Oryctolagus cuniculus: one gene and its partner. The protein of the gene in region 2 interacts with the protein of the main gene of each other region in a pairwise test. Links are inferred from orthologs where the notes say so. Each region holds a gene or a part of one and is shown on either strand. Other genes may lie near its edges.

Evidence for each region.
Region 1: the proteins of PLD1 (region 2) and PEA15 interact in a two-hybrid assay, tested with the Homo sapiens proteins (2 studies listed by BioGRID). The link is inferred for Oryctolagus cuniculus from reciprocal best matches to the Homo sapiens genes PLD1 and PEA15.

The regions. Positions count from the first base shown.
Region 1 is NC_091438.1:38,719,581-38,724,033, forward strand, and holds the start of PEA15 (astrocytic phosphoprotein PEA-15), read right to left. Parts: upstream 2,870-4,453; 5' UTR 2,687-2,869; intron 1-2,686. UniProt on the Homo sapiens protein: Blocks Ras-mediated inhibition of integrin activation and modulates the ERK MAP kinase cascade. Inhibits RPS6KA3 activities by retaining it in the cytoplasm. Inhibits both TNFRSF6- and TNFRSF1A-mediated CASP8 activity and apoptosis.
Region 2 is NC_091435.1:108,448,409-108,452,654, reverse strand, and holds the start of PLD1 (phospholipase D1), read right to left. Parts: upstream 3,092-4,246; 5' UTR 2,952-3,091; intron 1-2,951. UniProt on the Homo sapiens protein: Function as phospholipase selective for phosphatidylcholine. Implicated as a critical step in numerous cellular pathways, including signal transduction, membrane trafficking, and the regulation of mitosis.

The DNA of each region.
Region 1 (4,453 bases), on a different chromosome or scaffold from region 2:
TTCTGTGCTCTGCTCACTGCTTCCTCACACCTTCCTTCCCCCATTTCCTTCCTCCCCTTCCTTCCAAGCTGACTCCAGGAGGAGCCCTGACAAAGGTGGAGCAGACTGATGATGCTGGGGAAAGGGGGCAGGGAGTGTTGGGAGGACGACAGGTGGGTGCTCTTTGAGCCCCGGAGCAGGAACAGGCAGGCCCTAGGGGTGCTTTGAGAAGCTGGGCAAAACTAGGAAAACTACCTGTGGAGGAGGTGTCAGCACCAAAGGAATTTCTGTGCATTTTGACATTAATTCATGGTAGATGATCATCTCTTCCTAGCATTTAGTTCCAAATCCTCAGTAAATTTAACAAGTGCGAAGGAAGCCTGAGGATTAGGAGGTGCTGCATCCCCTTCCTGCACATCTGCTGCAGCTGCCTAAGGCTGAGGGGCGGGGCCATACCACACAGCTGCGAGGACCTGGAGGTCCCTATAATGGGCAGGAAGGGACTCCCCAGCATTCAAGTCTGTCCGTCTTGTTGCCTGAAGTTGGGAGAAGTAATGAAGGAGAGGCAGAGGCATGGGGAAGGGAGGGAGAGTAGGGTTCCAGCTAAGTGACGTCTGGACCACAAATTCAAGCAATTCCATAGTTTATTTCCTTTAATATACTCGACTGACTTTGTCCCTAAGCTTCTATCTAGCGTGGAGCTTAGGGGAAGGATCATCTTTATTCCTGTAAGGAATGAAGAAGAGGGCTCTGAAGCTTCAGGGTCAGTCAGAGTGGGGGAAGGCAGGACATCTGGGCCCCAAAATGTTCACGAAGCAAAATGGGTTACCCCTGGGCATGCGGACAAGAGCTTTCGGGGGCACCAGGAGACAGCTGATGATGGATCAGGCAGGGAGAGGGGGCTGCCTGAGGAGGAGGAGGCGGGTAGGGCCTGCGACTGCCTCGTCCATCTATCTACACTCCCTGCTCCTATTTCTGTCTCCTCTCTCTGGCTCTTCTTTCTCATCTATTTCTTCCCCTTATGCTTTCAACCTCTCTTTTCCTAGTTTCCCTTCAATGGGCTTTCATCCCCTCAAGCTTTTCTTACCCATCCCACTTGATGGTGGCCATGAATCCTTAGGACTCCTGGCTTCTGTTACTCGGGGTCCCCATGGGACTACTTAGAGCCACTGTTAGGAAGGGGTTTGAGTCCCTGCTGTGTGTGGTAGAAGGGGCCTGCAGATGCAGTGGTGGACTGCCTACTGGCTGGTGGAAGTGCTCACCGTGACATGCGTGAGAGAGAGGCACTGTGCGATTCTGTGTGACCCACTTCTTCATGCATGACAGTACATGCACACGTGTTGGGCACAGGTGCCGCCAAAGTGAGAAAGCAGACAACCAGGGAAGCCAGCAGCCTAAGGCATTGCTGGCAATCTCTTCAACAGAGTGTTTAACCACAAAGGGAAGAGCAATTAAAGCAAATCGCTCTGACAGCCTGGGGGCCAGACACACACCAAACAAGACATACATATTCAGCATGTTCCTCCTAACCCTCTGTTTCCTCCTCCCCAGTTTCTGAGCCTCTTTACCCCACTCTCCAACACTCTTTGCACACCTCTGACCATCTCTCTTTCCCTGGTTCCATGCCTGTATCTCTGTCCCTTTCTCCATATTTGTCTCCTCATAGACATTCCTCTCATTCTCTCTCTCCATCCTTGGCTGACTCATTCTTTTTTTCCTCTCCCTTTCTCCCACTCCCTCCCCCATCTCTTGGCCACTATGAAACCTAGAAACTAGCCACTTCCAGCCCCCTGAGCTCTAACTGTACCCAGCAAGAGGGACAGCCAGACGCCCCTACCCTCCCTCCCACCCAGCCAAGAGCACTGGACCATTAGCCTTCAAGATCCTGTCTCCTTGTCCTAGAGGTGAGAGACCAGGGTTTTCCCTCATCTCTTCTGTTTAAAGAGTAGTAGTCTAAAATCCAGGGCTGGGTTGGGGCCAGTGGCCCCCTCCATCCACTACTCAGCTGTCCTGTCATACTGGCATCTTGGGGCCCACAGTCCAGAAGGCTCCACATGGGAGCGAGTGGGGTTGTGGATGTGTGTGATTTGGCGTGTGTGAGGCGATGTGTGTAAGAGTCACATGGGTGTGTGTCACTGTGTGTGCTGGCTGTCTCTTGTAGGTGTGCGTGTGCCCCTGTCAGTTTCGACACGAACTGTAGGGAATTAATTAGGGGTTTTACGTTAGAGACATCACTCCTCTACACCCCCAGCTCCTTCCTCCTTCCCTCGGGACAACCTTTGCCAATCCCACCTCTTCCCCAGGTGCGGAGAGCCGGCGGTGAGGGCACACGCGGCCGGCGGCCGGCTGCCCGCGGAACTGAGGCGGGGCCGGGCCAGGAGGCGGCCGGCCGGCGGGGGCGAGTCCGGCCGGGGCCGCGAGGGAGGGGCGGGAGCTGGCCCGGCCGAGCCGGCTGGGCGGGAAGCAGGCTGCATCCTAGTTCCCAGGCCCGGGTCCGACTCCAGACTGCCGCTCAGTGGGGAAAGGGTGGCCCAAGCCACGCTGCCCGCAGCACACGCTCGGCGCTCGGGACGCACCGATTGAGAGGACCCGTCCGGGGTCCCCACGCTCCCCTGCCTGTCCGCCAGCGTCCCAGATGGTCATCCCTTCAAACCCAGACCCAAATCTGCTCCCTCCCCGCGACACGTCTCCTCTCCGCCCCTCTCACCGCCTCCAGAGCTGAGCGCTCAGGGAGCGGGCGCTCCGGGGTCCCCGGTTCCTGAGCAGCGTCCGGAGCCTCCTCCTCGGCTGCTGCCGCTGCTGCCGCTGCCGCCGCCGCCGCCGCCTCTTCCGCCCGCGGAGCCGGAGCCCGAGCCCAGCGCCGCCTCACCCCACCCGGCTGGCCGGTGATGTCAGAGCCGGGGAGGGGCGGGGGGCGGGAGCGGCGGAGGAGGGGGCGGGGAGGGGAGGCCGGAGGGGCGGGGGACCGAGGGGCCGGGGTTCTGGAAGGCTCCTAGGACTGGGGACGGCATTGGGCGGAGGGCCGGAGTAGGGACAGCTCCTGTTCTGCCTAAACAATTCTCAGGCTTCATTCTTTCACAGTGGGATCCCCCTCCTCCCCTTGTGACCGTTAGGTGACCACCTTGGCTGGGACCCTGGGAGGTTTAGGAATTTGGAAGGCCTTTGACCTCTGCTTGCTTTGGTATTTGAAAAAAGGTCTTTCCCCAAGCCTGGCGGTGAGGCACTGGTAGTAAACGATCAGATTTACTCGCATTGGGTGTGGGGGATGGGTGAACGGTAGCATGGGGCCCTCCTTGACTTGACCTGGAAGCCCCAGGCCATTGACGGCAGCGGCCCCCTTGTTTTCCTCTCACCTTTCCCCAATATGCACCCCCCTCCTGCCATCCCCCACCATGATGTAATTTTATTTTCTGGGGAGAAAAAGAACAGCAGTGAGCTCAGCATGCAAATATAGACAACTTACAAAGCCGCACTTAGCTTGCCTCCTCGCTCTGTCCCTCTACCCAGGCCTAGCCTGGTAGCTCTCACTTCCCTTTCATCTCAGGGACTTTCCTCCCCCAAATTCTCAGCCATACTGAAAGAGGGAAGGGAGAATTGGGGAAGCAGCTGTTTTCACCCCCAAGGCCAACTCTGATATGGTCTAGTTCTTGGAGGAGGCCCAAGCACCCCCAGTGTTGGTACCACCTCTGGGGACACCCCCATCTTGCCTCATTTCCAGCCTGGCAGAGACCCTTAGGTCTCCACCCCCCTGGGAGAGGCTCAGGCTCCTGCTGCCTTGAGTTTCCCAGCTCTTTGCTCTTCCTCTCTCCCAGGTTGCCCAGTCAGGGACCCTTTGATAGTAAGGCACCCTCCTAAATGTGTCTGTCAATGTTGATCTCCCTTGCTGTCTGTCGTAGGGCCATGCTGTTTCGTTGACCCATCTTTGGAGGCTCAGATACTAGATGACTTCCCCATAGACACGTAGTGTGCAAGTGCAGGGCTCAGTTCTCCTGAGGGCAACAACGGGCATGAGGGCTCCGTGCTGGCTGCACTCCTTCTTTGGACAAGTTATGCCCCAAGCCTCCAGGTCTTTACCAGTATGGTGGGGATGCCAGTGCCTTCTAAGAGTTAATGCTGAGAGCGAGACAGAAATACCCCATCCTGCACTTCATACCCCAGGTGCCCACCGTAGCTGAGGCTGGGCTAGACTGAAGCCAGGAATTCAACCCAGGTCTCCCACGTGGGTTGCAGGAACTCAGTCACCTGCTGCCTCCCAGAGTGAGCATTGGCAGGAAACAAATTGGGGGCAGAGCTAGGACTTGAACCCAGACACTTCAGTATGGGATGTGGGTGTTGCAAGCAGCGTCTTAAACACTGTGACAAATACCTGTCCCACCACCAAGCCTATCTTACAGGGTTCTTCTGAGATTCAGAAATAGTAAGTCTCTAGGGGCTGACACAGATGACTGCTTAAAAAACAGGAGTTGGGCCCGCG
Region 2 (4,246 bases):
GATCACAGGGATAAGTGCAACTGGGCAAGGGCCCTGGGATTCCGCAGCCCACAGTCCCAGGGAGCTTCTGCTCTTCCCCACGGCTCACATACCTTGGGCCCTTATTTAGTGTGGTCAAAGTGATGGTTAAATACTGAACACATTCCTCCTCATTGACAAATGCCACCTGTTCCCTCCCAAATACACCTGTGGCTTCCCCAGCCCCTACACCCAGGATCCTTTGTCCCAATTTCCTCACAGCCAAGTGGGAAGGCCTGGCCGGCAGGGGGTTCTCCAGGACCTTCCCAGGGTAGACATAACCCCCCATCCTTGGACATAACCATGCTCCTCTTCTGCAAAGGAGCTGTATCATGTAATTATGTTACATTACTTATGCTGAAACAAGAACCAAAAGAAATACAGAAACCTGAAAAAAAGAACAAATAAATAAAAGGGCATTTATGAGAGAGATAAAACCACAGGTTGTATCTTTTTGGAGAGACACCAATGCCAAAATTCTTGTGTTCCGACTGCCTGGGCTGGGACCCCAGCACTGCCATGTGCCAGTTGTATGGTTTGGCTATGCATCAAAATGCCTCATCTACAAAATCCAGATAATAAGATCACCTACTAAACAGGGTTGTTTGGAACATTCAATATGGTCACATTAGTAAAATACTTAGAATAGTGCCTGATACAGTGTATGTAATGTGTGTATTTCTCCACAAACAGTTGATTTGATTCTGTCCCAAGTCTGTTCAATAATTTAAAAATTAGGAGTTTCACAACAGAAAAAAAAAAATTGAGACTCTGTGAAACACTTATATGTTAGACATTGTTTAATCACCCTGCACTAGCCACATCTGGGATCCAGGTTTGACACTGCGCTGTGAATTTCCGGAAGCAAACACACTGGAATGTGTTCCCACATTTGGGTAAATCCCTTACTAATCAAAAACGTCACGGGTTCACAGGAAACTTGGGTTATATGTTTCTCAGTTTAACCCTGCAATAGCTTTTGACCACACCCTAGCAAATAAATTTTATTTTGTGGTGCTAAGACTTGAGGATTGTAAACATAAAAACAGGCCTTGCAGTGACTCAGCCTAGGAGCCAGATCCTACCTGCTGGATACTCCAGCATCCATCTTTAGTAAATACCCATGGTGGACAGGAAATTGTTACACCAAGCAGCCAGCTGGATCAAACTCACTTCTAGTTAAGGAAAAGGCTCCACCTCCCAAGCTCAAGCATAATTTAAACAGGCTGAAGGAGACACAAAACTGTCCATTGTAGTTTCTGTTAGATATGCAGGGCAGGAAACTGTCAACAGTTTCCTTGCCATTCCTTTTGGTTGATAGCTAACCCTCTGAGCATTCTTCTATACAATCCTAACCAGCTCACAAGCTTATCTTCACCCATCCTCTTTAAAAGCAGCTGCTCCTCTAAAACCATGAGAAAACCTCAAGCCTTGCATAGTAAGAAAACTAAAGCTGCAATACAATCATTCAAATGGTGTACACAAAAAAGAGTGTCTTGTGGCTGGGTGATGGTGACACAAGCAAAACAACGCGAATGTATTTAATGCCACGAAAAGTGCACTTAAAAACAGCTAAGATGGGAAATTGTAGGTGGTGTACATTTTACAATAAAAACATACTAAAAAAAAGCTTAAAAAAAAAACAAACCCTGGAACAGCTAAAGGTAAATGAACTTTAGAACTATAAGGAACACCCACTAAGTCATTGGAAACTTCCAAGGAGCAGGGTTCCCCACCACTACCTATATAAGTGAATCAGCAAAACCAAATGAGCCCTACACAGTCCTTAGCACCACGGTTCATAAATCTCTCGGAAAAGACAGGCCCTCCTCAAAGTCTTCATAAGGCATACTTTTTTTTATCTGGATCGTGAGTTGTACTAGATCTTGAGAAGACAGGCTGGGAGCATATATAATGAAAGGCCCCCCAGAAAAACACTTACAGGCTGCCTACAAACTCAGGCTGAAAGGCTTTGTAATGCACTTGCACGCACACTTGTCCGCACGCCTCCAAAGTTAACTCTGAAAGAGCTGCTTATTCAAGTGGGCAGTGGATCAATGCGGCGTCTGTTAACGGCTCAAAACTGTAGACTCCTCTCCTGGACATTTCCAGGGCACCATCATTATCTAATCCATCTAACATATCTCGCAGTGCTCTGGGTTCCTGCTCCCAGAGGCCCTGGGAGGCCCACAAAGGGTTATCTAAAGTTAGCGGTCGCCCAATAAAGCGAAGCTAACTCCCCATTCTGGGGACTAGACCCAGGGGATGATCAAACGGGGAAACTCCTGGTGTCCTTAAAAATCGACTTGCGCTTAGCGCTTCATGGAGGAAGTAAAGAAAGCACTATGACGAGATTAGGAGAAGCATTCACAGGTGTCGCGGTAGCTCTGCACCAAGGCTCCCGGCATCACACAATCTCACCCAACGCTGGGAGGACGGCACGCCTGCATCTGAGACCCGAGTGCCCTGAGAACAGGCTCTGAGCACACGCCCCACTGCCAGCCAGCAGTTCACCCCAGCCCAGCGTCCCCAGGGCCGCAGAAGTTCGGGACCTGGCACTTCCTGGTCCGTCTAGGATGCTGGTGCCACCGCGCCCCTATCCCTGTCATGCCGCGGGGCTTGCTAACCCAAGCGGCGCTGGACGCCCAGGGGGGGGCCCGTGGCTGCGCGAGTCGGGGTGCACCCTGCAGGGCACGCCCCCTGCCTCCGCCCGCAGGCAGCCCAGGTTGTCAGCACCGGATCTCGCGGCGTCCGCGGGAGGCCGGGGGCTGCTCGGCAGTCCACCGCCCACGCGGCGCTGAGGTCCCGTCCAAGCCGGGCGAGGAGCGGCCTGGCTGCGCGGGCCAGCGGGAGGAGGGACGGAGGGCCAGGGCAGCGGCAAGCCAGCTCCGGTGGGAGCCCCGCGAGCCGCTGCGTCCGCGCGCGGCGCCTACCTGCAGGGCGAGGGGGCCGCGGGCACCTGCGCGCTGGCGGCTGGGAGCTCCCGGGGCTCGGGCGTAGCTGGCACAGCTGGAGGCTCGGGAGCGACGAGGGCGGGCCCGGGGGCGCTCGGCGCGGCGCCGGCGCCCGGAACTCGCGGCGCGGATTCGCCCGGGCTGTGCGGGGGTGGGGCGAAGCGGTGCCGGGCGCCGGCAGGCTGGCGGCCCGGCAGGACAGGCGGGCGGGCTCCGCAGCTGGGCCTCTGCCCCTGGCGTTTGGGTCGCTCGGGGGGCTTTGCCTGTATTCCCCCATCCTCGCGGCTGGCAGCCTCTAAGGGCGGACCGAAAGGCGAGCTTTCTTGCTCGGGGTGCTTTAGCTAAGACGTAGGAGCTCTGTTCATGGCATTTATGAGACTCCTTGCGACTCCCTCGGGTAGGTGTTGTCGCCACTCTACAGGTAAGAAAACAGGCTCGGACCGGCGAAGTAGCCGGCGTCTAGACTCCCAGCAGAGATCCCTGGGGACGGGAATTTGTGTCTTGATGTCTCGATAGCTGGATGTCATTCAGACTTCTTAGCATCAAGGGGGGGGGGGGTGGCGACACCGAGAGCAAGACTTGGAAAATTCCCATTACACCCCTCCTCCCCCGATCGAACTGTCCGAACAGCAATTGTGCTGGTTTTCGTCCCCTGAAAGTGTTAATTAAGGAAAGGAGCACCAGCCGTCCAGTCCCGGCCAAGTGACACAATCTTGCACCCCACCGAAAGGCGCAGCCTTCCCGCGCACCGCTGTGCTCACAGCGTGGGCCGTGTGTGCTCCACCGCCCAGGCTGGCCGGCTTCCATAACGTCTCACTGCACACATGGGGCGGCATAAAACTGAAAAGGCGGTGTTCAGTCCAAGGGAGACGAGGGGCGTGAAATTCCAGTCTGCAACTCCGTTTTCCTGTAACCTGCACTTGGCTCGCCCCTTCCCCCCGCCCCACTACATTTTTCTCTCCTGAGCACATCTTTTCCAGTGATGGAAGAGTCACACAGCCTTCACTCCCTCCTTGCCGACAGACCTGATTGATGCCTTTTGAATCCTGGGGTACTGACAGATTTTTACAATTAAGCACAGGGCCCTCTGGCAAGCTTAGCACAAGCATGTTACCGAAAGCCTGAACACTCCCCTTTCTCAAGTTTTATTAGTCACAGATGATGTGATAAGTTTTATGCGAACGAGTAACTGCACTCTTACAGGCTTGTCCCTAGAAGTTATTACACCTTCAGTTCGAGAAGCAGCAGCCCATAAAGCTGCATTCCTCACTCAG